2 linked regions of the Lepisosteus oculatus genome follow. The protein of the gene in region 1 binds, or shares a complex with, the protein of each later gene. Links are inferred from orthologs where the notes say so. Each region holds a gene or a part of one and is shown on either strand. Other genes may lie near its edges.

Region 1 (14,815 bases):
GATGACCTAAATAATTGGGAGTTTACATGGTGAGGCAGCTGCAGTGCTCATTTTGACAAAATAAAACGATGGAATCAATTGGAAATATTTTTTATGGCATTAGAAAACTCCTGTGGTATGCCATTCTGCCTTTAATCTGGGAAAAAAGGAGGGAAATAGTAGAAAATCTGTGTCTGTGTTGGGGTTGTGGTGTCTTTGTACAGCTGGAGTGATTTGGCCTCCTGTCTGTCTCTCTTCCACATTTCCCGAGGGGGCCTGGCAAGCACTGGCCTTGCATTGGGCTGGCAGAGAGACTGGGTCTGCAAGTTTCTGTCAGGTGGGGAGGAAGAGAGAGCAGTGCCAGCCTGCAGCAGTACAGCAGGAGCTCCCTGGCACAGATCAGGAATAAGGGCAGAGCAGGACTCGGACGTTTCCTGCCTAGTTCACTTTTCCCTCTGATCCCACTTCCAGAAATAGCAGCAGGAAATCTGCCAAAGGAAATGATTATTAAGTAATTCAAGACCTTGTTTTTTTTCCTTCTCTTCTACTTTTCCTTTCATATTGCCGAAAATCAGAAGCAGCTGGGTGAGGCTGAGTAGGAGTTGTCCTCCCACAGTGGAGTATGTTTCTGCAATGCCACTGTGGAAGATGGATGGTCACTAACCAGAATGATGCTAAACTAAACAAGTCATGCATCCACAAATATTTCAGTTTTGAAAAATCTGATTATATTCTTGAACTTCTTGAGCACATTGTCAGATCATAAAAGTTGTATGAAAAGCTCACATGAGTAGGACACAGTCTGATCTCAACCTTTTTTTTGCTTAGTTGCATGATGATCCAAGATTGTGCATTGGGCCATAAAAGAAAATCCATTAATATTTTCAACCTGCTCAGTTTATAATGCACATTTAGCGTGTCACTCTCAGAAGTATCTGTCTTAAGTTCTGTACTTGACATGAAAGAGGCTGTTAGTCACTAAAGGGGCACGGTGAGGTGGGCTGTGCCAATTGCAATGGGCCACCCCCCTCTCACCACATTCATCCTGTGTGTGAGGCCCACTCCTGATCAGAGCTCAGGGTTGGAGTCAGTGCAGAGAGGGAGAGGGCTGTAGGGTGTTGGCAACAGGCCCTTTTCTGAATTCACAAGGCTGGCTACAGTTAAAGGAGGCACATTCCCTGTATTTAATTTACTTCCTCTCTGATCTAGTCATTCAGACTGGAGTCTGCAGGCAATCATGGTGCAAAGCTTGTTAAGATGACAGGAAAGGGCACACTGCCTGCTCTCCACAGTCTCCATCATCCACATTGTGCAATTGTCGTGGCTGTGGTCACAGCTTTGATCCTAGGCACTGCGCTGCAACTGAGGGAGGTTTCTGTCACAGCATTGATCTGATGTCTTTATTTTTCACTTTGTCACCTTTCTTTGCATACCTGAGTCAGATTTACTGAAGCATGGAAAGCCATAGCTTAGGTATGGAAAAGAAGGAAAATAGGAAACCAGTTAAAATCATTATGGAAAAATTCACCTGGAGGAAAAACATGGAGATAATTATAAATCTTTTGCTGTTGATCTGTGAAATGTGCACAATAAATTATTATTCAAATTGAATTGAATGTGTATTGTCCATTCCAGGTCTAGAAAGGATACTGTATAGGCAGCGCCCCCATGTGGGAGCTGAGATATCATACTCAATTAGCAAAGTAACCTGACCTGTGACATTTTGTGTCCTGTTTCTAGACTCCAGGCAGATGCAGACATCACCCTCCTGGACCTATGAGCAGTCCTATCCCTACCTCGGTCAGATCTCCACCCCCTCCGTCCACCCAGCCACGCCTATCTCACCTGGACGGGCCAGCGGCATGTCAGCGCTCACTGACCTCTCCAGCCGGCTGTCAGGTGAGGACTGAACAAACTAATAGTTGTTAGAGACGGGGCAGAGGTCGAGAAGAGGACTAGGTACTGTATGAGGTTAGAGATTTTGTCTGAATTTATGGTTATTGTTATGATCAGCAGCACAGATACAGGTGAGAGCTGGGTATGAGATTAAAGATTAGAGATCTGTCTGAGTTTAGGATTAAGGTTATGATCAGGAGCGGAGCGGTGGCTCTATGGCTAAGGATCTGTGCCTGTGACTGGAAGGTTGCTGGTTCAAATCCCATGGCTGTCAGAGGAATCCTACTCCGTTGGGCCCCTGAGCAAGGCCCTTAACCCTAACTGCTCCAGGGGTGCTGTACAATGGCAGACCCTGTGCTCTGACCCCAAGCTTCTCTCCCTGTCTCTGTCTCTGTGTCTCCATGGAGAAAAAGCTGGGGTATGCGAAAAGACGCATTCCTAATGCAAGAAATTGTATAGGGCTAATAAAGAAACATTATAACATTATAGGAGCACAGGTGCAGAGGAGAGCTTCATTTGTGGTTAGAAATTTATCAGGGTTTAAGGTTAGAGGTGACAGCTACAGCAAATTTTGGACTGGGTAAGGAATAGATCTGGGGTAAGTGTTATGGAGTTAGTGTTAAAAAAGTGTTATGGCTAAACGTAAGGTTTAGAATTGTTCCTTCAAAGGATTTTTTATGAGGATGGAGGAAGATATAAAAGATATCTTGCTTTTAGATTTTGATCAGTAAATTTAGTTATGGCAGACATCTATCTTTAATCTATTTTTTTAATTGCATATGGAACAATTTGTCAGATATTCTGTATGATTGTATCCATTTTGCTTATTAATCTTCCAACTGGAAGTAGCTTATCCAACTGCAGGAGAAGTGGGTCTGATCTTTAACACTATTAGACTGTTTTTATTCCTGTACGGAAATTTGTCTTAATAGGTGCATACCCTAGATCTACCTATATGTGTTCTACACAACAAGGGTTAAAATTAAAGTACAGTTTCCTTCTTCTGAATCAACAGTGAGACTTGAATCATAAGACACTAGTGTAAACTAAAAGGAAATGTATTTAAAACTGAGAACAGGAGGCACTTCTTTACATTAAGTGTTGTGAGAATATGGAATAACCAGCCTACTCATGGTGTTGAAGCTGGTTTTCTGGCTTCTTTCATAAAGAGTCACACATCAGTTATCTACTAACTACTAAACAAGCTAGATGGGTTGAATGGTCTCCTCTTTTTGCAACTTTTCTGATGTTCTCATGTTTTGTGTTTTTATTGTGTACAGTTACAGTTAGGTTACTGTCACTTCTAAATTGTAAATCCAGATACATTTTTTTTTACCTACCACAATCCTATCCTTACTCTTCACCTTTTTACCCTGTTCATAGCCATAACCAAGGGCAAGGATTAGTACCATGTTTGGAATTTGGTCTGGAGTTTCTGTGTTTAAAGAAAGTGTGCAGTGTTGGTGCTGTATGGCCCCTGACCTCTGTTCTTTATCATTAGGTTCGGAGCTGACAGCATTCAGTGACCCCCGGGTGGGGCTGGAGCGCCAGTTCTCCTCGCTGCCTTCGCTGCCAGAGAGTCGCTTCCCTGACCCACGCATGCACTACCCTGGAGCATTTACCTACACCCCCACACCGGTCACCACCGCCATTGGCATCGGCATGCCAGCCATGACAGGCACCGCACGCTACCACACCTATCTGCCCCCACCGTACCCTGGGGGCTCCTCTCAGGGCCAGACTGGGGCCTTCCAGACCAGCTCGCCCCCCTACCACTTGTACTACAGCACCGCTGCCGGCTCATACCAGTTCTCCATGATGTCTGGGGGTGAACGTTCTCCTCCTCGCATCCTCCCTCCCTGCACCAATGCATCCACAGGCTCCGCCCTGCTAAATCCTTCCCTGCCCAATCAAAGTGAAGCAGTGGAGACAGAAGGAAGTCACAGCAGCTCCCCTACCAACATGGCCACTGGCGCAGGCCGTCTGGAAGAGGCTGTGTGGCGGCCATATTGATCCCTACACCCTCCTCATGCTCACTCCCAGACAGGGTTGGAGAACCTGTGGCCAAACACTTTGCACTTCCACTTGCTCACTGAATTTATTCTTTTTGTATCAAGAAGATTGTAAATAGTGAAGACTAGCAACAGGGGAACAATGTGGGAGGATGTAAAGGAGGAAAAACCAATGATTTGTTTTCTTCTTCTTGTTTTTGAATGTACTGCTGTTTTTTATAATTGTTCTTGTTATTCTTAATTATTATAACATCATTTGAAGTCTGCAAAGAAGAAAACACAGAAACTGTGAATGATGAACATGTGATAGACTGTGAAGAGACATTTTGGTGTGCAAGGGTACTGGTTTGCTTCTAGTGTCGCCAGCGCTGTCACTGCTCCTGAGTGCAGGAACCCCACAGAGGTGTCACACCACAAAAGCCCTTTCACATCGGGGCCAGGGAGAGACGTGAGTGAATGGTACAAATCGCGTGTGCATATAAAAAGATCTATTCAGTATCACATAGAAAATCAAACTGCAAACATTCTCTGTCTGGACAGTGTTCCAAAAACCCAACATGATTAATTTGTTTTTGGGATTCATCCATTCTTAGATGACAGCACAATGTAAAACAGAGCAGAGCAAGTGGGAATTTGTGAAAGATGTTCAATTTTGCATTAATATTTGATAATGTAACACATAACATATAGGAAATGGTGCAGTACGCAGTTGGGCTGGCAGTAGAGGGATATCGGTCCAGATTGGGCTCACCTTTACAAGTTCCAGAAAACCCAGTCTCAAAATTTTGTGTAAGCCTTATCTTTAAATGTCAGCATTTTCCAACTTTTAAGAATTTTTGGTTGACAGTCGGTAGTGAATTGTGGTATTTTGTGTTACTCAAAAAAAGAGATGGAAGATTGACTTCCTGAGTTATCAAGAAAGATTTTTTAAGGGGTTAAAGTAAAGGCTAGGCTTTATGCAGGGATTAGTGATAGCATTTGGGCTACAACTGGTCTTATGATCAGTATGGGATCTTGTTATGGCTATTGTAAGGGAAATGTGACAGGGCAGACAGGTATAGATTCCTGAAAAGGTTAGGAGCTTATTACTCTGAGGTCCACGAGCTGGACTCCTTGTTTGCATGGAGAGCCACTCTGGTACAGTACAACCAACTCTGAGAGCCATTGATGCCTTTAAGCCTTCTGTGTCATGGTAGAGGTTGCTGTATTGTGGGGAGAGAGCCTATTCCTACACAGGCTGCAGTGACTGATGGGTCTCACTCCAGCCCACCTTTCAATTATTGAATTCATTTAATTACAAGATGAAGTGCACAAAATAAAAGAACCATTTCCTCCCAGGTCTTAGTCAGTTGGTAATTAAATGATCCTTGTAAATGCTGCAGGAGACGCTTGTCTTTGTCTGAAGGACTGGTTAAGACCCTCTGTGTTTTCAGACTTCACTGTGACGCAATGAAAGTGGTACAGGGCAAGCCCAGGGCATGAGTGGTCAACAGCACACTGGCCACCTCTCCTTCCTGCTGGCTGCAGCTGTGAGAATATTCTCTCGCTGTGTCCCTCCTGCTGCCTGGCGTTTTATACACTCTGAGGCCAATGGGCTGAACTCACAGAAAGAACTCACTTTGTGTAAATAGTCCTTGATTGTAAATGAATGCCTGAAAAAGTCATTGAGGCTTTATGTTACTACACAACACTGTGCTTTTTCACTTCTGGAAATATTTTTTTATTGTTTTGTTGTATTTTTTAGTTTAATTTTATTTTATAAATATAAATACAGTTGTGTAGCTGGAACCATGCTCCTGTGTCCTTTGCCTTTCTTTTCTAACACTTGTTTGTCCATCTCTGTGTTTTGATTGCAAAGAGCAGGTCTCAGATCTTGGAGCATTTATGAAACACATTAAGAAGGCTACAAAAAAAGACAAGACCGTTCTAGCTAACATGTCCATTGAGTGGCTTTTGATCTGAAAAGATCATCAGGGATTCTTCCCAGGGGTATTGCTCTTCAGGGAATCCCAGGGGATCAGCTTCCTGGAGAACTTACATTATGACTTGGCAGCTTGGTTCACATGCCCATCACCCTTTGCACAGAGACCTTCACCCCCTCAGTCCTAGACACATATTTTCATGTAAATTCCACTTCTTCTTTAGCTAAGTATGAAGCAATCCATTGGGTTAACTTTACCAATGCCCTTCAGTATTCCGAATACTTTGTAGCAGGTCACCTTGTAATCCCCTCTATGTAGGACTGAAGATACATAAATCTTTCAAACTATCTGTCTATGCCTTTCCTTTTTGAACCGGGATTATTCTGGATCCTCTGCTTTGAACTCTTCTGTCTTTTCTGTCTTGGCCAGGTGTGATCAACACTACCTCTCCCTGTGCCTTTCTTACTGAGTGTGTCACCTTCACTCTGCACCCTCCTGCCTCCCTTACTGTCCTTCCCACTTTGTTGCTCTGCCTCTTCTTCCTCCTTTCCTGCCTCTGTCAACTTTCCCTCTCTCCCAGCAATGTCACTTTGCCTTGATGGAACAGGAACATGTGGGTTTCTGACTTAATGCCAATCTCTTCACCCCCAACCTCCTCCCACAAACTCCACAGCTATTCCTGAACTCCAGAGGAATTTTCAACACACAGCATGCTCGGCAAGCCCAGACCTGCTTTCTGCCCGCACCACCCTTCCCCAGGACGGAGGTGGAGTGACTGTTCCTGACAGGCAGATACAGCAGTGGGGACTAATCGTAATGTGCACTCTTACCAAGGATGAAGAAGAAGCATAGCCTTTAGGACTAAATCATAGTTTCCTCACATTCTAAATGTCTTTAAAACCCACAGGCTGCAATCCTTACTACTAAAAAAAGTTACAAATGAGAGGAGACCAACAGACCCATCTATCACACATTTTGTTCACAGGGTAAAAATAGGTGAGGGCAGCTTCGGTTGGCAGGGCCCTCAGAAAACAAAATCATCTGTGTCAAGGCCTGCGTGTTTTCCAGCTCCATACATCTGAGCCCAACCCAGCACAGCACAGACTTGTCAGGGTTAAACTCAACAGAAGCGACATGCCAACCTCACCTGACCACAGAGTCAGGCTGGAACTGAACCTCAAACTAGATTTAATGATGGCGAAACCACTGTGGCTGCTAACTGTGTGTCAGCTGCCTGAGCGAGAATGAGTGTGTGTAGGGGGTTGTGCGTATTGACAACTACAAAACAACAAGGGACTCTGGTCTACCCTCACATGTTCCAGTCAGGAAGTGCCAAGCACTTTGCTTCCCAACATATCTTCCATATGTTTAGCTGGGGGGCAGTTATTCAGATGTCCTCCTGTTATGCAATACTAACAGAACTGTTAGAGCTGGCATAAAGGATGTATAATTTACAATATCCTTAACCTGATACAAAAACACATAGGCAACCACACTCTGTCCCATCTGGAGCTGTGTGACACTAAGGTGAGCAGTGTGGAACTTTGCTCAGACATTGTGTTTACAAACAGGGTGTGAGAGTCTGCCACAAATCTGACTTCCATTCAACCAAAGCCATACTTTTCGTCTCTTTGTTAGCTAGATGTATGTTTGCCAAGAAAACGCAAGCATATTGGAAGCTGGCACTTTGTTGATGCCTGTTGACAGTAGGGGAAGCAGACGTGTAACTATACATAATCTGAATTACTTTGCCAGACTGTGTTTGAAAGAATATTTATACAAATACATTTTTAATTATGCAGTGCTTTTCTGCATCTAGATAGTATCTTTTTAATCTGCACTTTTGAACTTGTAAAATCCCTTTAAAAAATGGGAAGCAAAATTTGGCTGCACAGTGTAGCTCTATTCCCGAATACCCGGCCTGGCACAGCGATACTGCCTTTAACACTCCCTTGTTGTCTCAAAATCGGGTACTTCTCTACGGGTGAATGAACCGGTTTACTGAGTAACGCAATCTGTTGCATTGTACGGAGAAACTGCGTCATCTAGTGGACAAATTATGTCATGGCGTGTATATAACAATCGTATGCAGTCTTTCATGTAAAAAGATCGGAGGATTCCGGTAACAGAAATTAGAAGAACGTTTTCCCCGTTTTTCAGTTGAAATAGTATAAATAATACCCTGAACGTGGTGATTGTTTTAAAGTCATATGTCATGAAGCGCCTTGGGCCAAACTTGATGAGAAAGGCGCTATATAAAAATGCATTGAATTGAATTGAATATGTATTTTCTATTTTACACAGCTCTTCACGAGTGACAGTTAATTTGGGATCGATTTGTAAGGGTGGATTTAAAATATATTGTAAATGCCGTTACTCATACTAATTCTGTTACTTCTAGGAGTGCAATCAAGCTACTATCTGTAGCCCGATTTAATCATATTTCAGGAGCTAAGCAAAGCTGCCCCTTAAAAAAAGAGATGGGAGACCACCAAAGACATTAATGAGTGAAAATGTCTCTTAATAAAATTGTCAGCCAACGTAATAATATACATTCTTTCAGAATTTCCTAGAGGCCCTTAATTTTAGGAGTCCCCTCTCCTTCATAAAGCACTTTTAGGTCCTTTGGAATGAAAAGCATAACGCATTTAACGAATTTTATTTAATAAATAAAAGTACATAAACTGTACATGTACATGATTTTTGTTGCTGACAAGTATCTTTGATATATATTTTTAATTTGGCTGACAATTTTATAAATAGACATTTTCACTCATTCATATAACTGGATATTTTGTTAGAACAATTTGTTGAAGTATCTTGCCTAAAGTGACAACAGCAGTAACTCACTAGAAATGTGAACAACCTTCCAGATATGAACCCAAAATCCTAGTTGATTGATCAATCTATTCTATTTTGTCTGAATTAAAAACATACAATATATCCAGCTCCTGCCCGCTCACTACAATGTTGATAACTGGACGTACAGCACAAGCACATGTTAAGCTCGGGAGAGCGTACGTAGACATCTCGCTCTAGGACCTGCCCAGGAAATTACCGGGAGAGTGACGTCATTACGTCAGTGTACTGTGGCGTGCTTGTATTACGCGCGAAATTTGTCCTCACAGAGCAATAAGAGAAAATCAGATGGAGTGAAGAAGCATCGAAATAATACAGAGATTTGGAACTCTTACGTCATATAAAAAGAGGACGGAATTTATCATTGTTCGCGATAAAAGTTAGTTCTTAAAATGTTTTTGTATTCCTTATTTTAGGAGTACATTTTCTCGTAATTGGTGGTATGTGCTGTCTTTCATATAGAGAGGCGATCTGAAGGTTTGCGACTTGGCGGGGTTCAGTTGTTGGAAGTACAGAAACAGTAACAGGAAAAAAAAAACAGGAAATCTCAATTGCTCGTCACACCAGCTTTGCGCGGGTAAAGTACGCTTTAATTCGGGGTTGATTTGTAGTTTACAGACGGTGAAGACTTACATGCTTCACACCGAGGGAAGTTGGCGAAGCTGGATACCTTGTTTTAGAAAATAAACTGAAGTAGCATCGAAAGCGACCATGTCTGAACACGCAGGCTACTCTCCGAGCTTCAAGAGACCTGCAGACACTCTGCGGTTGCGGAGGCAGCGACAGCGCTCCCGCAGCGAAGTGTTGACCTCTGGCGGCTGCAGCTCCGGGGCCAGTCCGGGGGGTGCGCTTTCCGGGATCAGGCCCTTCTCTCCGGGACCCCTTCTGGGCTCCGCGGTGCGCACGGGTGGCCAAAAGCGCAGGAACCCCTTCGCTAGCATCGAGAACACGTACAACAGCCCGAAAAAGAGGGCTGTGGAGGACTGCCAGGGGGGGGACGGACCGGCGGGGTGCAAGCCCCCTGTGGAGGCCGAGGGAGAGAACGGTCCACAGGGACTGAGCGTCTTGGAACGCGGCCTCTGCACACGGCGTGTTCTTGCAGAGACGCACAGCCGAGAACCCTTCAAGGTAAGAAGTCCCTTTCTTAATGCAGTGTTACTAATACACTACACCAGCGTAATCACTTGTGTTTAGAATCGGTGATGTCTCACCCTGATGCGATTTTAAATAAGAAAAATTACATTATGCAAGTAAACCCAATGTTTAGAAATGAACATCTTTTCATATTTTCAAAATATGCTGCAGAGTTTATGAGTTTAGGTGGTGTAGTATAGGAATTTACATTGAGTGCAACAGTGCAAGTGATTAATAAAATGCACACTGGGAGAGTAGTAGGACAGTTGGCATGTCATGGCCTCTGAATGTCCACTCTTAGTGGCAGTTTCAAATGAGGGTGTTGCCTGCAGTCAGTGAAGGTGACATCTCTTTTGCACCTGATATGTAGCTGCTTTTTCTTTTAATTTCCAGGTGGAACTTTCTCTTCCAGAAGATGATTCCCTTTTGGAGAGAGAGCTGTTTTCAAAACAGACAGCTCGTCCTCACATTTACTTGGTCAGTATGTTTTTGTTTATGATGGTTTTGCTCCTAAGCAGGAGTGGTTAGTGTATTGCTGCCTCTCAGTGCAAATGCCCTGGGTTCAATTCTGGACCTGGGGTGTTATCTGTGTGGAGCTTGTATGTTCTTCTGTATTCATGTGAGTTTCCTCCCACAGTCCCAAAACATATTGGTAGGTTAATTGGCTAGTGGGAAAACTGGCCGTGGTGTGAGTGTGTGCCCACGATGGACCGGTGCCATCCAGGGTGTATCCTGCCTTGCACTTGTTGCATGCTAGGATAGGCTGCAGCTACCCTGAATTGTAAGATACGACTACAAGATCGTTGGGTTTTACTCCAGGGTATTTTGCCTTCCAAAGACTGTTGAAATGCATTTTGTAAAGTCTGTAGAAAGTAGTGTTGTTAGTGCTTTGGATTCTTAACCAGAAGCATTTCCTAACCTGTAGACATTGATGTTGCATGGAACAATTTGTTTCCCAAATTATTCCTGTCCCCCAGTACTGTATACATTAGTACCTCTGGTATAAGTACTAACGCTGTGATGGATTGGCATTTTTCATTCTCATTTTTCAATTCTTGTTCCGCTTTTGTTCCAGTTCCCTAAATGTAAAAAAGGAATTGGAATTGGTGAGAAAAGGGGTTTGGGATTGAAAACTGGAACTGATCCCTGTGCTCCCACGCTCAGGACAGCCATTTTCCCCCAGACCAGTTTAACTTCGGCAACCTGGGAGGAGCTCCAGCCTGATAAACCTCTGGGCTTGAGAAAGAAAATAGTAGAATCTTCTTGTTTGGCTTGATGTTTGCAACAGTCTAGTGTAAATGGGGGACATGGTGATCGCTCGCAGTTGTCTGTACAAATAACCTCACCGCATCCCCTCTCTCCCAGGACTCTGAGGTCCCAGCTGTGACCGCGGCCGCATCCGACACTCCCTGCACTCAGTTCCCTCCAGATTGGAGCCTCAAGACGCGTCTCCTCTTCACCTCCCCTCGCCCCTTTGCCTGGGCAGAGAACCTCAAAGCACAGGAGGAGGCCCAGGGATTGGTCCAGCATTGCCGTGCCACCCATGCCAACCTGCTGTCCCACAATCAGGTACAGAGGGTCCACACACCACAAATTTCATAACCTGCAACGTTGGGGGGGGGGGGACAGGAATTTCTTTTTCAATTTGAAGAGATTGGCTAAGAGTGACTTGTTTTTGATTGTAGGAGGTGGCAGTGTGGGTAGCTGTTGAGCAGTGGGTCAGTTGTTGATAATTTCTGTAGATGATAGAAGTGAGTGGTGATATTAATTGTCTGGGAGTGTTTAGTGTATCAGGAGGAGGGAACTCAATGCCTGGCATCCAAAACATCCCATTGAAAATTGCCCACTGTGCAGTAAACATCCAGTAAGTACGTTTACTCTGCAGTGCTGCACAATGCAGTAAAAACAATTTACAGAGCAGACAGTTGTTGCCCAGTTGTATATTGCCTGTGTTTTCTGCTTTGTAACTCCCCACTCAAGGGAAACTCGAGTACATTGAAGGGGTACCTACTTGTTTCACTAATGTTGACTCCATGTGTGTCTTGCTTTATTCAGGAACTGCAGAACAGCCCAGATTTGCGCTGTGCCTTCCAGCAGAGCCTGGTGTACTGGCAGCACCCTTCCCTGCCCTGGCTGCCCCTCTTCCCTCGGATTGGTGCTGAGCGCAAGCTGTCTGGGAAGAGCGCTCCCTGGGCCCAAGACGAAGCACTGCAGCAGAGCCTGATGAGTGAGTGGTGAGTGGCAATGACAGTCTGTCTGCTGGTTGCTTACTTTTTTCGGGCATTTATGTACATATTTTTATGGGTACCGTAACTGTGATTGTTAATTTGACTTAAGCCCTTTCCACAGTGACCAAAAAGCATTGCATTCTCTTACCTTAAATCAGTGGTTCTCAAACTGTGGTACGCGTACCGGCAGTGGTACGTGGAGTGCCGCCAGGTGGTACGCCAAATGACCCTGGAACTGTGTCGTGTGCGCTGAAAAATCAGGACGGGTTTTCATATTTTGTATTTTAATACGTGTCGAATATGCAGCCTACATACTACGATACAGTGCGTGCTAATACTTCAGTGGACACAAGAGATACTCTGTAGTTCTATACCACTCTATAGGAATGCGTGCTACGGATGCAAGTGACCAATTGTATTTAAAAAAAGCTACTGTATCTCCAGCAAATAGGGAGAAAGGAGAATGTGCATGATTTTGGAACAATGCCAACGTTGTAAACACAGGAATACATAGAAATACGTGCTACGAATGCAGGTAATCTTGTGAGCACACGAAAGCGTGATAACAGAAAAATATTTAAGAACTGTTCTAATTTGAGAAAAATACACCGAGCGTCTCTGTGTTTCGTTCCTATGCGCATCAAATAAAAACTTTAAATAAATACGGAAATAAAAACGGAAACGCTGAAAAATGCAAGCTTGCGGATTGCAAAACCAGGTAAGGTACACTATTTTTGAAGAACCTTATTTACTGTTGGCAAAAAATTCGACGCGTATTATGTGTAGAAAAAAAGCTGCTAAACAGCTTGACCTGCTGCCCCCCTCCCCCTGAAAGACACAGCCATTCATAGAATTATTGAAATGAAGGATTACATCAAAAGTACACTGATAGAGCGCGTTAAGATGAGCAGATGTTTTTCACTGCAATTAGATGAGTCTGTAGTCGATTTGGCCAATTTGCTTGTTTACGTTAGATACAAGTTTGAGGGTATGTCCCATGAAGACTTTCTGTTCTGTAAACCGCTACCAACAGGAACTACAGGAGAGCACATATTTCAGCTTCTGAATGAATTTATCGAAGAGAATGGCCTCGACTGGATAAAATGCATCTGAGTTTGTACAGACGGTGCTAGAGCAATGACAAGCCGACATAACGGTGTAGTTGCACGAATTAGAGAGGTTGCTCCAGAAATTAATGTACGCATTACAACATCCACCGCGAGACCTTTGCCGTCAAGAAAATGCCTGACGATTTAATATCTGTTAGACTCTGTTGTGAATTGTATCAAGGCTCGAAAAATTAATTCACATCTGCTTTGCTCAACTAAACAGGCTCACCCCTCTCACTGAAATGGTGCTTTTTTATTAGTTGTTGTTAATGTTTTTTTTCTGTAAAACACTTTGAGAAGCCACCTTTAAAGGGGCTATATCAAATAAAGTTTATTATTATAATATTTGTTATATGTATGTGTGAGTGTGTGTGCATGCGCGCTCATTTTGGTCATTGAGAATTTCTGGGGTTCCTATGAGATGATGACTTGTAGGTGGTACTTGGATGCTTTGGTTGGATTAGGGGTGGTACTTGGTCCAAAAAGTTTGAGAACCACTGCCTTAAATGATAGAGAGTGCTGCTGTTAAAGATGCCTTCTTGATAGGAAATCTCTGTGCCCTTGAGAGCTGGGAGCTTTGATAGGCTGTGCAGTGGAAAGCTCTAAGACTTAAACAAAAAGGCCAGTGCCAAACTAACCACCTAAGTTTTTTTTTAAATCTATTTCATGAAAATGTCCTTTTTTGTTTCCTTTTAAATTACATGATTTTCTGACTTGACACACAAAAGTGGCCTTGTCGCCCGGCCAGACTGATCATATTTTCTCAATGTTTGTAGAACGCATTCAAAGGCTGGTTCTCATCTGGTTCTCCATTTCAGGTGTGTGAGCGTCACGTCCTTGTACAGCCTGCTCCGGGCTCGGCTGTGTCCTTATTTCTACCTGTGCAGTTACCAATTCACTGTGCTGTTCAGAGCAGCCGGGCTCAGCGGCACACGCAGCATCACAGCGCTGCTGTCCCCCACCACGCTCGGGCTCCGTGAAGCCATGAGGAGCGAGGGTAAGTGTGCCAGTCTTGCCAGCTTCATTCTTCAAGGCTGCTGCATTCCATTCTTCGTTCCATGTGAAATCTTAGTTCATGGGTCTTGTAAGTAAATTGACCTATAAAAATGTGATTTCTGTCTCAAGGGCCAGCGAGGAGTAGTTTAGTTATTAAACTTTTTCACACTTGCATACCTGCACACCAGTGTGGTCTCTGACTTGCAGTTTTGAATCTGCCCCCAGGGATAGAATTCATGCTGCCCCTGGTGGAGGAGAAGAGAAAATGCAGGGGCCCTGGTTCCACTGGGCAGGAAGCTGAGCCAGAACCTGATGGTTCAGGAGCAGAGCCTGGAGAGGAAGAGCACAGTGCAGGGTGAGCATGGGACCTGGAGGCTGTTGACACTGTACTGCTTTTACTAAGCCCTTTTGTCTAAACCCCAAATAATTACCCCAGAGGTATAAGTCCATTTAAATGTTTGTACTTCGTAATTTCAGTTCCTAAAATTGTCTTCAGAGCTCTTTCTTATTACATGTGTATCTGTTAATTTAATATTTGAAACTTAGTAGTGCTGAGTGATATTTTGATGTGATTTGAGACAATTGAGAATATTCTCATTTACAATGATAATTTAAAGCCCATTTATAGAGCAGGCCATTTTATGGGAACAATGTTTGTGAGGTACCTTTCTCCAGGGTAC
Region 2 (15,684 bases), on another chromosome or scaffold:
AACAGTATCCGAGAATAGAAAAAAAATGAGATCACAATCATTTGTTCTAATTTACATAAGAAGAAAAAACAAATGGTTATGTGAGCTGCTCTTTTCATTAGTTTTTCTAGATTTTGGAACAATTCTACAGTTCATTTGATCCTTCAGTCTTTACCTCTGGTCATCTGTCTCTGGTTCCACCAAGATATTCTCCTGCTGTACTTTCACTCGCAGGAACACAAATGAGTCCAAGCTGGGCTCCGGAACTGATGTGCGGCAGACAAAACATAAGATAAGTTAATACTTGGAACTGGAGTGTCAGTAAAAAAGAAGGATGACCTTCAGGGCCCTCAACTTCAATGGCAAACTGAAAATGTTAAGAAAACTGTTTATAAATTCCACCCCATCTTGCTCATTTGATCTCTATTATCTAATCAAGGGTTGAATCTCATCCAGGAACCCAAAATGCAAACTCCATTCTTTATTATACAGTACCCTCAAGTACACCTGAACCTATCTGGCAAAAGTACCGTATGTTTTAAAATAAAAAAAAATCTGTTTTCTCTTGTTCTCTTTTAAACATTTTATGTTCACTGCAGCACCAGTTATGCACAAAGGAAAAGTCATACTAATGTGGAAAATACAGCTCTCAAAGTACACAAGAAAATGATAACGGTCTGACAAAGATACACTTTCTGCTCCATTTCTTGCAATGAAATTGAATTTCTGTGGTATGCTGTTTATATTGAACACATAGCTGTGTTGTGCTGGAAAGAATATTTCAATCCCCTTACCAGATTTGGCAAAATCCACTGTCTGCAGGTTAGGGGGCATGTGTCTTAGAGCCACATTCTTCAGGTAAGTCTCTGTGTTGGCCATGTATCTGGACCAGAGAACACATGTGTGTCAGTATATGCATACAGATCAAGTATTCTGCCTGGGAAACATGACAAAACTACAGTAGGTTACATATAATGGAATTACCCTGTTTGTCTACAACACTTTTACAGAACTAGTAGAAACCCACATCGTACAAGATTAAGATACACCAGATGCTGCTTCATCTGCCATTTATCTTTTCAAATGTCACAGGAAACATAACTCCATACCAGAGGTCAAGTGCCAGTCGGAGGAGAGGCTCGTCATTCACCACAAGTGCACAGTGGACAGCAGGGGTGCTAACTCATGCCCTCTTACTTACCCTCAGTAATACTCAGCCAATTCAAAACATCATTTTAATGTTACAGAAATCTGTATATAATTACATACATGTACAGTATACACTGAAGGAAAACTAATGTGTAACTATGCTGTCTGGGCTTGTTCTTTAACATTTTAGAGGTTAACATTCTCTCCCTTATTATTCAAATATGTATGTACTAACTGGATTTTCCATTACAAAACAGCTGAGAGATGCTCTATTATAAGTATTAAAGTATTACCAAGTATTTATTTAAAACAATATTGCTTAATCTGTGACATTTTGCATACATTTATACAGTTCTGGTGGCTAGACAAGCAGTTACGTAGACAAACTTATCAACTAGAGGAGATACTGTTGTGGCCTTCAATTAGGACTCACTCTTTAGCAAAGGCAAATTCCTCTGGGGATAAATAGGATGGGTCACCATCTGCCCGAGACTTCTCCTTCTTCAAGACATGTGGAAAATACTTCTCAATCTGGAACAGCAACAGGAAACCAAGACTCAGCTGTGTGACGAGTTTGCCTCAAGTAACAAACCACAGCTCACTTTATCATCTTTATCACAAATAAGAAGTTGTTATAGTGGGAATACAAACAAATTAGATCAATCTGAGAATAAAATTGTATTCTCATAGACTTCTAGACCTGACAAAGATTCCACTACAGAATTCTGAACCTCCAAATGCCGGTTTATTTACCATACCACTCAACTTATAATTGGTTTACTTTACACCGGACATATTTCTTGTTTGGCTGTTAGAAAATCAGTTTCAACTATGTGGCTGCACAGGTTGTCCCCAAAATCTGTGACTCTTTGCTGAAAAAAGTTACTCTAATTTTAATTACTTAAAGCAACTTCTATTCGTTTTTTAACATAGATTCAGTGGAGCAGACCCTGGCTATTTGCTGGTTTCTCCTTCGATGATTCTCTTAATCGCAGTGTTTTGAGTCCACACCAATGCAGTGGTCAGAGTGGTTTGCATAACGTGGAATGATGTAATTAATATTTAGCACCAATATACAGTGCAGTCCGTAAGTATTTGGGAAGTGACACAATTTTTTTGGCTCTGTACTCCAGCACATTGGATTTGAAATGAAACAATGACTATGAGGTTAAAGTGCAGAATGTCAGCTTTAATTCGAGGGTATTTACGTCTATATTGGGTGAACCATATAGGTATCACAGACCTTTTTATACATAGTCCCCCCATTTTAGAGGACCAAAAGTAATTGGACACATTAACGTAATCTTAATAAAACTGTCATATTTAGTACTTGGTTGCAAATCCTTTGCAATTGATGACTGCCTGAAGTCTGCGACCCATAGACATCACCAAACGCTGAGTATCTTCCCTGGTGATGCTCTGCCAGGCCTGTAATGCAGCCATTTTCCACTTTTTACACTTACAGACTGTACTGTACACATGCTAAATTTCTGCACATATGCACTCAGATTTTTCAGCACTGTTCTCAAATTGGATCATTCTTATAGTATTGTATATTTATTTTTTGTGTTTTTATTTACAACATGGTATGCATCAATACCATCTAAACAAACTGCAATTACTAGTGAGCCTGGTTAATAAGAGGCAAAGAAAAGTAATGTCTCTTACAGACATGGAATTATTAGATAGGTCACCAAGAGGGGAGTTTTGCTTTTGTTATATGCCAGTAAAGAACCAACATACAGTACCAACAATAAGGGACATTAAAAGAGAGAAGACATAAAAAGTGCAAGAATTTCTGCAACACAAACCATCAACACATTAACAGTATATAATTTTAGATTTTTTGCTTTATTATCTTGTTCTCTATTACTTGATCTTAAATTTTGAATAAATGGAATAATTACTGTATATATAAATGACAAAGAGGGGTGGCCAATTAGCACTAACTTTGCATTTCTTGGATTTCCTTTAAACAGGAATTTTCAAGAACATAATCCCCATGAACAGCAAGGGGTTTAGTGTTTAAGTTACTCCTCTAACTTACTGTACTTAAAATAATGCTTAATTTTTTGTTACTGTCGCCTTTGAAATTTAGGCATATCTCACTAAAGATGAAGTGGTGATAAAGTAAAAATTTGAGGCAGCGATAAATAATTACATATAAAACCATTTTAATAAGTTTTATATTCAGGATGGTATTAATTTGATCTTGCATGAGCAATTTGTAAGGCCACGTTCGGTAAGTAAGCCATGTGAACAGATCTAGCACATTCTACTGTACATGTGTAATCAAAGCACTTTCAAATAAAAAGAAAGGAAGTGAAAAGACAGGTAGGAGTAGGTCATTATCTTCGGTTTGGATTTTTTGTTAAATTCCAGACATATGTAAAGACCAGACATTTCCTATAGTCTGTGACACCGCAGATATTCGTGCAAACCAGACAGACAAGTCAAAAAGCTGTGTTCTCACAAAGGAAGATATGTGAAGATGTCCTACATTGAGTTTGAATGCTAAAGAAAAAAAACTAAAGAAAGAAACAAGAAGAAAAGCAAGAGAGAATGAAAACAACATTTTTTCGATAATACTCTAAGAACAGCAACACATCTAACTAAGTTCAGTGTCAAACCTGCTCTCCATATTCTGCAAATCACTGGAACGGTAAAAGTCTAGTATCTTCTCTTGCTACTTTTGCAGAAAGTTTTTTTTAACACCAAACTTTTCAGAAAATAAGATGGACATACAATGGAGCTCTGGAAAGACAACTACTACTACTAATCCTGATGAAGATCATTTGTAGTACTACAGCTTATTACATTACTGATCTACAGCAGTCACCCTGACCTTCTGAAGACGTGAGCGAAGGTAGCTGCTCAGGACGTAGCGGATCCTGTCGATTTCCATGCGGTGTATGCTGGCCTTTAGATCACCCTTCTTCACCCGCTGCAAGTTCTCCTCCTGAGCCACAGAAATGGACCGGAAACATGTAACACTGAGACTACAACACAGAGCACAGCAACATAATACACCAAACAATGAACTGCACAGCATGTACACAATACACAACATAGACCCTGAGAGGGATAATACTACATGAAAGCAGCATGCAGAAACCTCTCCTTAACATACGCTACATAACACAAGACACTGTTAACCATGACATCTTACTTTCTCACCTTGAGGCTGTGTTTGGAGTTTCTGACACTGCTCTCAAATGGTTTAAGTCTTACCTCACTGATCACCGTCACTTGTCTCTCTTGGCAGATTAAGGTCTGAAATTTGGTCTCGTTAAGTCTGGTGTTCCACAGGGTTCGATACTGGGTCCCCTACTTTTCAGCATTTACATGTTCCCACTTGGTCAGCTTTAAAGATCACATGGCCTCAACTATCATTTCAATGCTGATGATATTGAAATATACATCTATACCAAACCTGACACTCATGTGGCTGTCTCTATTCTAATTGCATCTCAGACATAAAAACTTGGATGACTCAAAATGTCCTTCATCTTAACTGTGACAAGACTGAAGTCATGCTTATTGGCATCCCCATCAACTTTATAAAGCCAATCCTGTAACCCTATCTGTGGATGGTACTGTACTTGAGCTTCAGTCTAAATTGAAAAGCCTTAGGGTGATATTTGATTAAGGCTTAACAGCATATTGTTAAAACATCTTTCTTTCACCTCAGAAACATCACTAGACTACGCCCTGTGTTTTCACTAACTGTGGTTGAAAAGCTGATCAACACATTTGTCTTCTCCCGAATTGACTCCTGTGATGCTCTACTCGCTGGAGTATCTAAATCCACATTGAAAAAACTCCAGTATGTCCAACATTTGATAGCCAGAAACCTGACCAAGCCTAGTGCAAGTGATCACATTATTCCTATCCTGGAGTCTTTGCACTCTTTGTGGACTTTAAATTTCTCATGCTCACCAATAAGGCTCTGCATGGCTTTGCACCTCAGTAACTGTCTGATCTATTATTGCCCTACTCCCATCTCACAACCTTCACTCCTCTAATTCTGGACTCCTAACTGTCCCCAAGCCTGTCTACACTCTATGGGTGACAGGGCCTTCTCTTGTTATGCCCCTAAGCTCAGGAACTCTCTCCCCACGGATGTCAGAGACTCACCTTCTCTAAACTCCTTCAACTCCAGGCTCAAAACCTTGTTTAGAAGAGCCTTTATTTAACTGGTTCCATTCTTTACCCCTCTGCCCCTATAGTATTTAGTATCACTATCTACTTCCTACTGATTATTTTTAATTGTTGTTGCTGTTGTCATTCTGTAAAGCGCTTTCAGAAGCCACCTTTAAAGGCGCTATATAAAATAAAGTTTAATAATAATACTCATCACTCATTTAGGAAGAAACCAGACCTGCGTAAAGAAGATGGATCACTCTTAAACAAAGGGGTATAAATATATCAGAGAAGCATATCAGTGGAGTAACTGAGGACTAATTACACTAGGGAGGTGGGTCAGAGGGATTAAAATCAGGCCAGTTCTGGTATTTTTCTCGTACGATCAGAAAAGCCCTAAGCAACACTAACAACGAACTCCACATCTGTCTTCAACTGCATTTTTACATGCTTATACCTCAGTGCTATGGCATAAAGAACAAAGTGCAAGAACCCAAGGCCGCTGTATTGATGGGAAACTTATGACATTATAGGAATAACTGAATCATACTGAGAGGAGGATGACAGAGATGAATATAATGGATACACATAGCTTCAAGAAAACAGGCAGATTAAAAGGGTGTGGTGAGGTACTGCATACAGAAAAAACCTGCAAGCTAAAGAGCACAAACAAGAGGACACAGGTAGTTTTAGAATGTGTGAGATGTAAAACTTGACATTCTGAAACAAAAAAAGAACTCTGAAAGTAAGAGTTCAGAGGTTTTCATGAAGAAAAACATCAATGACATGGACGACATTATACAGTACAATGATCTCCAGTTTCACTGGGAGACTGTAGTGGAATCCCAAGGAGTTAGAGAACAGAATGCAAAGCACACAGCCTCACCATGTGAGTGAGTTGCTCCATTACGCACTCTACAATCTCAGACTTGTTCTCCAGGAGCTCAGGGGAGAACTTCTCATTCAGCCAGGCCTGCATAAGAACAGCACACAAGAAGGTCTGAAGTTACCGTTGAGAAAACAACAGAATACTTTACTACTTCTCCTTCTTATTCTCTTTATGAATTGGGCTATTTAAGTAAATTAAAGGCACCCTTTAACCATGCCACGTACCGAAACCAAAACAAGCACAAAGTTTACACTTGATCAAATATCAACACAAATATGTAATATGCAACGATGAATTTGTGATTTTCTTCTAAAGTAAAATATGGACAACAGTCTTCAGCTAGTTCTAATGGATGAGAGACAAGCTGCTGCGGCTTATGAGTATGTTCCTTTCTATAGCAGAAGCCAGTGGTAAAGGTGGTGTGAGGCAAAGCTACACATTTTCTTTACACTTCCCTGGAGAATTAATTCTTTACTACAAAGGAGATGGAACGATCACTCACTACCTCAAGCACCTATAATATAAAACTGAATGCTAACTGTGTAGAGAAAAATGAGAACAATGGATTATTTAAATTTAAACTCAATTTGTTTATATATATATATCTCAGATGGAAAGTCAAAGGTTGTTATTTATCTACAGTACGTGTAGCAGATGCTTTTATGAATAAATAAATTTTCAAGCACTTTTCAAGAGAGAGGTCACTTACTACAACAAACTGATGTAAAGGAGTGAGCACTTATAGAAAAATACTGTAGTAATGACAGCTCCTAAACAAAATTAAAACATGCACAGCAGATACATAATCAAACTAAATTTCTTCGTTAAATTATGGAATTACTGCGATAACGATCTTGAAAAAATGTTTTTTTTTTGTTTAGCCGAAGCTTCTACGAATATAATGATCGTTATTTCCTTTTGGCTATTGTGAAAAAAATCAAACATCAAAATTACGTTTCTGCATACACAAAACTGTCATTAGACTCGAAAATGGACTTTTGTTACTGTTTTTAAATAGCTTTTGTGTTTCGGACACTATGCTTCTACAGGTAAGACAGAGGTACTAAAATAAAAAATATATATATATATACATAATGACCTCTTCCAGCTTCTCGATTAGCTCTGCTGGGGTCATCAGCTCCTGGCTGTCATCTCCGCTCCCTTCGCTGGCTTCGGACAGCACGTCGGACATCACAGACACAGTGCGATCAGACAGCGGTGAATATCAAATAGTATGTTTCAGCTCTCGGATCTCGCCCTTATGACCGACACAAGTCCGATACTAGACATCAACAATTCTGAATAAACACTTGTAAATTTAGAAGAGATTAACGTTTATAACAATAAAAAGGAAACAGCTAGAGTACTGTATTTATAAATCCATCTTTGCGAAGCCTCCGAAGAACAATAAAACCATTCAAGTTACACTTATTTAATAAACAAAATGTTCCACTAATAATTAGTTTGAAAACTTCAAAATTTTGAAATTTTTTCTGCCTTTATAAACAAGATGCATCTGATACTTTTGTATACGCTACTCTGCTAGTCCTAAATTTCGCGCCACCTCGACAAAACGTCACTACACTGCGACACGAAACGAAAGTTAGCCGACATTCCCGCCATCTTTGTTGTGGAAAAAAAAACAAATGAGACTTTGGTCTTATATTAAATTATGTTATGATTATGAATGCCAGCGAAATGTAATGAAAGTTTAAAACATAATTCGAAATTAAATATCAAAGATATTTAGATAGTGTAGCGCCCTCGCCTGGCTTTGGAGCCGAAGAGCGCCCGGTTGGGGTGCACGGCGAGGGGAAGGACGGGAGTAGTAGTGGCCAGGGCGGGTATTAGGAGAGCCACTGGCCAGTGCAGCTGACCAATTGTTGAATAGGTGTACGTAGTCGCGAGATTGCCCGGACTCGTGTAATTTCCATGGTTTTGCACCCCTTATACACATGTACCCAATCACCACTCCTGTGTAACTGTACCCGAATTGACCCCAGTGTATTGTAGCCTGTTTATGTTTTTTTTCTCTCACTCTGTTGTGGCTGCTGTGTTCTCAGTTAAGAGCCTATCCCCTGTGTCTATCCTCGCCGATCCCGTCGCGTTACAATAGATAAACTTAAAATTAGGAGTTGTTTACCTGTTTTACTTTAATCTGATATGCAGTCACTTCTTTAGTACACGAGACTATAATGATTACAATTTACTAATAACATGGAAAAGGATACAAAGAAGGGGTTTGCTAGTTTAACAACTCTACCAGAATTCTAAAAGAAAAAAACATTAATTAGTGTAGCTTCCTTACATACCTAACTATTATTAGTCATGTCATTTCTGAGTTGAAGAGCAGTACACCACATAGCACCATTGTAAAACCTGGAATGCACAGTAAAAGTAAGTAACCTGGTATACAATTTAGGGGAAAAAAACATTGTGAAGGCATCAGGTTTCTGGTAGTATTTGAGGTATTGGTTAAAATTCATTTTAATTATTAACTGCAGTCCTCATATATTTTAAATGCATGCATACATCCTTTTAAAATGGGTATTAACATTGAAGTCAACGTAAACCGTTCTGTAAAACTACTGTTTTTAATTGATCCTTTTGCATGATACTTTAGGGACATAAAGAATCAAAACATACAAATGGTGATGAAGATAATGAGGAATATTACAAATGACAAATTTAAAATGAGCAAATGAATGTGGATACTGTACAGCACTCTTATACGACCTCTGAAACATTGTGTTCAATTACACCACTCACAACACACAGGTGCCACTGATATCTTGGGAAGAGTTCAAGAAGTTCGGAAGAGTAACCAGAATGTTCATTTGTCTCAATTAAAGTCTTATACAGACAAGGTTAAAGGAACTGAATGTCTTTCTGAATAAAGGGGAATTTTACAGGATTTAATTCAAGGATTCACAATCCTTGAAGGCCTTGACAAAATCAATTTAAGGGATTACCTCAAGTTGAAGTATGTAAAATGAACACCAGCTCATGAGAGGAAATTAAGAGTAGATCCGTTTAGGACTGAAACAGGCTGCAATACCAAAATTACTCAGCCAACATTTTGAAGCTGAGCATTTAAGATCATCAAGAAAGATGAGTTTCTTATGAGGATTAGGAACACACTAAACAATTTCTAAGTAGTTAGAAAAGTCAAATTGCCTACTATTGTTTGTTTCCTTTCTTATGTTTTAATGAGATTCCAGAAGCCATGGATGAATTATCCAATTTAGAGAGTTTTGTAGAGGATGAACTGGCTATGAAGTCTGCCTGAATTAAATCGTACACTGATCCTTAAGAAGTCCCTATTCATTATAAGCTCAGTTCTACTTTGGAGTAAAACAGACAATCCAAAACCATCCCCAGCTTCCAAATTCTAACATAAAATCATTGATATCCAACTTAATGGACTAAAACAGCAGGCTTCAGCTCTTCTTATACTTATCTCCTCTCCCCTCAGCAATTGAGAACTATATGATTCAGATCTTCCTTTAAAAGGATAATGCTCATCCTTCACGCCCTCATTCCATTAATGGAGGTTTCATCTAAAGGTTGAGGCAGTTGATATCCATGTAGGTAACACAGCCAAGATCGATCTCTGTGAGCAGCTTAGTCCCTCTGAGCACAGGGACGGCAGGGTTGAGGTTAAGCACCTATTACTCCCACTCATTCTTTTATGGCAGTAGAAGCTCAGCAATCTGCTTTCTGAGTCTAAGATGTGCCGAGGATAACTTTGCACTGGTACGTGGGTAATGTGTATTTGAACATGAAGAACTAAGTTTTTTTTTTAGAAGCTGGAATATAGAATTATTTGCAAAGCAGATATAATTAACAAGAGGATAGAAATCCCAGAAAAGGAAGCTCACCTTCTGTATTTGTCCCTCTGTATCTTGGACAGAGATCTCAAGGGGAAGTCTGTTACTTTGCCTTAAAAAGTACAAAGCTTCTTAAATACACAATTATGCATTCCTAAGCATAATACCCCAGTCATATTTTATTCTGAATATTGTGTAGAAATGTGGCCACCATTTTGTAAAAAAGGCACTGCTGCTCTAGAAACAGTCAAGAGAAAAGCCAGAAGACACAGAGAGATAAATCTGATTGGAGTGCCACCCTGTGTCTTCTGGTGTTTCGTCCAATGAGGCTTTTAATCACTAATTATTGCCCGTTATTCATCTGCTTACTAGTTTGGCCTTTTTTCTAAACTCAGTCCTTGGTATGAATAAAAATAAAGTATATTTGTAACATAACAGAAACCTTTTTCTGTCTGCCTCTCAGTTGAAGTGAATCCACAGCACAGGGGAAAAGATTTGTTTTGGAGATGATGAGTAAGAATGTGTCTATTTACTTAACATACAATATTATTGTATTTAGTTCTTCTTGATGCAATTGGCAAACAGTTTTTCCTTTCATGCTTCTAATGGTAACTAATGATTCCACTAGTGCTCCAGGTCTAAGTGATGAGAGATCTTTCATGCCCTCTTTAACCAGGTGACATCCAGCTCATGACTCGGCTTGGGTTCTGCTTCATCCTGGAAAAAATAGGAGGGTTTAGATATGGGCGGGTTACCCATCCCTGTAAAAAATGACAAATTTAAGAAACAGAAAACTCAATATTACCAATATACAAAACCAAACACTATTTATAGCTGCTTCAACATTTAGAAACTCTATGCACTGCACAGGTTTAATTAAGTCACAGTTAATATATGATAAAACCATTAGAGTCAAATTACCAAAACAGTAACCATGTAATAAATCACATAGTGAAAAAAAATCAACAAAGCAGATTTTGGTTCTTTAGAAGACAGCAAGAATATAGTTTTAAAAGTGAAATACAGAATTTAAGAGAGTAAACCCAAGAATACTAAAATTAATTTCTAAAAAAAGCAAGTGAACTCCAAGAAATACCTAGGATTTTTGCATGAAGAATGATTCTTCATTCACTTCTGATTGAAGAATGTTTATAATATTGACAATACATGATTACACTGGCCCTAACAGTACTTTATTCCTGTGGCATTTGGTCAGCAAGCAATTGGACAAATTCATCTTTATTTTAGTTTTTCCCCCACATGAAAAATTAGCTCCATTATAGTACATATAATATTCTAAAACATGAAATGTCATAAATGGCTGTTATCCATAATATCTATACAGTTTTTACAAGTCATTGAATCAGGTGACTTGTTTCTAGAAAAAAAATGCCTCTTAGAAATAATGACACAACCAAGATCACTAGTTCTAAGGGTATTGATCTTGTCTACTGTAGATTATCAGTATTGGATGCCTGTTCATATGTACACACAATTGTTACTTGTGGTTACTGTAGACTTTTACACTACCAAAGGTATCGAGCTCTTGGTGGACTAGCACTTTCATAAAACGAGTCTAGCATCAAATACCTTTAAAAATCTCTGTATTTGAAGAGGTTTCTGCCCTAGGCTGTGAGGAGACAATCTCAGAGACTCTAATTGCAAAGCTCTTACTCCATCTAAGAGCATTATGAGGTAATAGGCTTAGAAGGACACATTTACTCAATCAGCCACAGACACTGCAGAGAAGTACACATCAAAGATTTTCCCTTCTTGGCCCTTTTACCATACTACTACAGTATGTACTACTACATGTTTCACTATTAATCAACTTACTATTACAATATCCCCAAAACTATGGTACATTCTATGTTTATTATTAATTTAAGCTTATTATTTATCTTATTTACTTGACATGTAATTGGATGTGTGTATTTTACAACTATGAAAAAAGTATTCTTATTTCCTGAAATGATTGAGATGCTACACTTATATATCACCCTTCCATATAGGTGGAAATTAAGGAAGAAATTGTATTTGTAAAGCATCAAGCTTTAGCTTACAGCTTACAACTAATTACAAATAGGAATAGACTGATCCATTTCCTAACTGCTTTGAGCAATACAGAGTCACATGGGCAAGGCAAGATACATCCTAAATGGGATGCCAGTCCATCACAGGCCATACACAGACACAAATATACACACAATTACACCAGGGCCAGTATGTCTTTGGACTTTTTGAGGAAATCCACACAAACAAGGGGAGAACATAATCACACAGCTAGCACCCAGGTCCACAATTCAACTCAAGGCCCCAGGGCTGCAAGGCTACCACTGCGCCACACTTAGATTTGATTTATTCTTTCTGTTTCATCTTTACAATTTTGAGTTGAATTTGCAGCTTCCAAAGACTGAAAAGGATTTAAGTGTTGCACAATGGGAATCTTAAGTAAAATGTATATGTCATTGCAGCATGTTACTTTTCAAAATTGTGGCATTACTAACAGCAGCTTGGCAATGGTGTCAGCACACAACAGTGATTCACTGTTAAGGTGGAAAGGTTCAATTCTTAGAAGGTGCCTTGTGCACCTTCTAAGTAGAGTTTGTTTGGGTTTTCTCCAGGTGTTTTGGTTTTCTCCTACCCTCCTAAGAAATACCAAGTGAATTGTCATCTGTTATTTTTCCCAATTGTATGTATGTTTTCACATACTTGTGTGTGAATCTTGAAATGAACTGGAATCTTGTTCAGAGTGTATCCTACCCATTTTCTGCTGGATGAGACCCCCAGCTCACAGCAACCCTGTGAGCTGCAAAGCAGAAACTGTAATAATGGATGAATGGCATGTGTACTTAAACTAAAATTGGCTCAAAGCAGCAGAAACAAGAATTACTCTTCAATAAATATTAATCAGTTCATTACTGGGTGCATTTTCTTGACATTTGTGGGCTGTACAATTTTACTGGTGACCCTTGACCAAGGTTTGAAGACATCTGAACTAATAACTTTTGAGAGAATCTTAGGATACTTTAAAGAAAATAAGTGTATCACTTCAAAAATATTCCTTTTTGTAGCTGTCTCACAGCCAGTGATGTTCTTAAGTGAAATTCCACTTTCACAACCACTTTCTTTGTTTTTGCTACCTTGGAACTGCTGTTTCAGACTATTTCTCTTTCTTTTCATATGTAAAGTATCATTCATTTATCAGTGTTTAGGAATTATACTGACATTAAGAATAAAATAACTTTTATATTGCACTTTTATATCATGGGTTTGATACTAGCTTGATATGGCTTGTGTGTGGAATTTTTATGCTCTCCTAATGGCAAGGGAGCTGTTTCTGGTTTCCACCCACAGTGCACAGACATTTTCAGCTAATTGGCATCTCAAAATCGTGAGATGTCTAACAAAAGTATGTGAATGCACGTGTGTGTGTCCTATGATGGAATGCTGTCACATCCAGCTTTGATCCTGTCTTGAGGCCTACCTGCCTCATCCGATACTTTGGCAACTTAGTGTAACTAAAAGTTCATTCAGCCATTTCTCTAAAAGTGCCCAGAGCTTGAACCTCAAGCACCTGTCCAAGAAGCCTGTTTCAAACACCTGCAACTCTGTGTGTAATTAAATACTTCCTATTGTCTATCCTAAACTAGTTTCTAACTTTGATTCTTATTTCTCTGCTGAATGTGAAATAGTCCCTTGGCTTAACACTATTTTTGATCCTTAAGATCTTACATGTGTGAATCAAAGCTCTTAATCTCGTTTTTCTAAACCAAAGATATTTAGGTCCCTGTCTGTCTGGGTACAAACATGCCCTGAGATCAGAAATGATCTTTGATTTACACCATTCTAAGGCTTTTGAAAATGAAATCATAATATTAAAATAGTATAGTAATAGGTTCACCTTCCTTGACAAATGACTCTTCAAATTTACAGCCTGAGGGTCTAGGGATAACTAAAGGTGGTTCTTAGAGTGAAAGAGACTGCTGGGTCTTTGAGTCCACAGGTACTGAAACCGGAAACAAAAAACACTGGGTTACAGCGGGTTTAATCGGGTGTAAAGGGGAGCTAGAAGATTATCAAGCAACCTTAATGAGATTCATGTCGTCGAGGTATAATTAGAATAGTGACTGGAAAAGGAAAAGGTTGATTCAGAGCAAGAAGTTTAAATGATCTCCTCAGGAAATAAGCTTAGAAGTTACGTCAGACGATGCAAGGTGAATATAAGCTGTCTTCCATGGCAGCTCCACGCCCCGCTGACGGACGGACGGTTCGACTAGGCTCCTTGGTCTGAATTCGTTTTTTCTCCAGGTCTTTAAACACAGGCTGTGAAGGAAGAACACCATGTTGGCATCAAGAGCTCTGCTGGCGAAACAGGTAGCGGCTGTCCTCACCCGCCAGCCGGCGTGCCTGGCTCACCAAGGAGACTGGGGTAACTGGGGCAACACCAACGTCGCAGTGGTAAGTTGTAGGGGCATTGAGGGGTAAAGTGTTCTGAATGTGTGGAAGCGCAAGACATTTATTTATAGTCCCCTTGGTTATAATACCAAAGTTCCCTGGTGAAACCAACAAAAGTTTCCTACCGATAAAATGTTAAAATAAAAGTAATTGTTAAGTTTTTGGGAAAATGTAATGAAGCACAAAATGTATAGACGGAATCTGTGTTTGCAGAGTTGCAGTTAATTGAATACAACTTCGCTCCCCAAAGAGTAAACCAACCAGTGCAAACCAAGGGGAAAAAAGGCATTTGTTTCTGTTAGAAATAAATGAAAAGCTTTGTTATTTCCCCTGGATGAGTAGGGATCAATCGATAGTCAAAGCACTGTCAGGTATAAGAAGGAAAAAGTATATTTCAGTACATAAAGAAAAGATTTTACTCTGATCGTCGATTGAGTTTCAAACGCGTTTGAAGAATCCTTCGATAGAATGTAGGCTCATGAAGATTTAAAGACGCTGATACGTAGCATGGCCGTGTGAGATAACTGCCCTTTCAATTTAAGACAAGGCTATTGGTATTCAGCTCCCATAAGAACTAGCTCCAGATTAATTTGATTTTTAAATCAGAATACATTTATTTTAAAAATATTTGGAAATTTGAGTTTGTGTCTTTCTTTGGCGTCTAAAAAGTTCAGAAAATTCAGTACCCACTTTGGAATTTTTGGTAAAGTTCTCACTTTGAACGAATTGTGGCCCACAAATTTTACGCTCCTCTATGTAGAATCTAAATCTGGAAATAAGAATAGGATAAACTACGGCACATAAAATTATTATATCTAGTACTGAGTTTTAAAAAACTAATTTAAAGATTAGCATTTACTTGGGTAATTGATAAAAAGATTGTAAAGTCCTCTTTTTATGTGCAATTAAAGCTCTTGACGCGATTTTACTATTTTATAACTTTGTGTAAAGACATGCTCTAATTGTGTTAAATGTGGCCGCTTTACTGCGGGAAGATAGGAATAGGTTATTCCGCAGACCCCCGGGGAGACCCGTCTCCCTGTTCGCTAATCCTGTCATTACCTTTTAAATCGCGTTTAAATCGCCTCCAAAATACATCGCTCATCGGATTATTTTGTGGGTTGCTAGAAAGTGTCTGCCTGCAACGTACACATTTTGTATACTGTAGATAAACTAATCCATTAGTAAACACTTATTACATGTTGTTCTTCATTCTTGCAATTTAGGTGACTATGT

Evidence for each region.
Region 2: the proteins of protein downstream neighbor of son homolog (region 1) and gins4 are in contact, whole or in part, in a cryo-EM structure (PDB 8Q6O), measured with the Xenopus laevis proteins. The link is inferred for Lepisosteus oculatus from reciprocal best matches to the Homo sapiens genes DONSON and GINS4. Residues at the interface, in XP_041437004.1 of Xenopus laevis: Tyr8, Ser9, Pro10, Ser11, Phe12, Lys13, Pro15, Ser16, Ile18, Leu19, Ser22, Thr167, Arg168, Arg245, Arg469, Val471, Glu488, Thr490, Tyr518, Thr519; in NP_001084702.1 of Xenopus laevis: Leu19, Thr20, Pro21, Cys51, Glu54, Gln55, His58, Asn62, Arg65, Ala66, Lys67, Lys72, His76, Asn179, Leu181, Pro184, Thr186, Asp187, Glu188, Tyr192.

What each region holds. Positions count from the first base shown.
Region 1 is NC_090708.1:28,964,101-28,978,915, forward strand, and holds the start of protein downstream neighbor of son homolog, read left to right. Parts: upstream 1-8,884; 5' UTR 8,885-9,379; coding exon 9,380-9,796; intron 9,797-10,195; coding exon 10,196-10,279; intron 10,280-11,167; coding exon 11,168-11,371; intron 11,372-11,857; coding exon 11,858-12,036; intron 12,037-13,957; coding exon 13,958-14,136; intron 14,137-14,360; coding exon 14,361-14,490; intron 14,491-14,815. Other genes in the region: runx1 (runt-related transcription factor 1), read left to right, coding at 1,720-1,878, 3,377-3,888. UniProt on the Homo sapiens protein: Replisome component that maintains genome stability by protecting stalled or damaged replication forks.
Region 2 is NC_090697.1:62,990,592-63,006,275, forward strand, and holds the start of gins4 (DNA replication complex GINS protein SLD5), read right to left. Parts: upstream 7,993-15,684; 5' UTR 7,353-7,992; coding exon 7,260-7,352; intron 6,245-7,259; coding exon 6,158-6,244; intron 4,088-6,157; coding exon 3,974-4,087; intron 1,660-3,973; coding exon 1,562-1,659; intron 863-1,561; coding exon 774-862; intron 246-773; coding exon 155-245; intron 1-154. Other genes in the region: gatd3l (ES1 protein, mitochondrial), read left to right, coding at 14,335-14,451. UniProt on the Homo sapiens protein: Required for correct functioning of the GINS complex, a complex that plays an essential role in the initiation of DNA replication, and progression of DNA replication forks.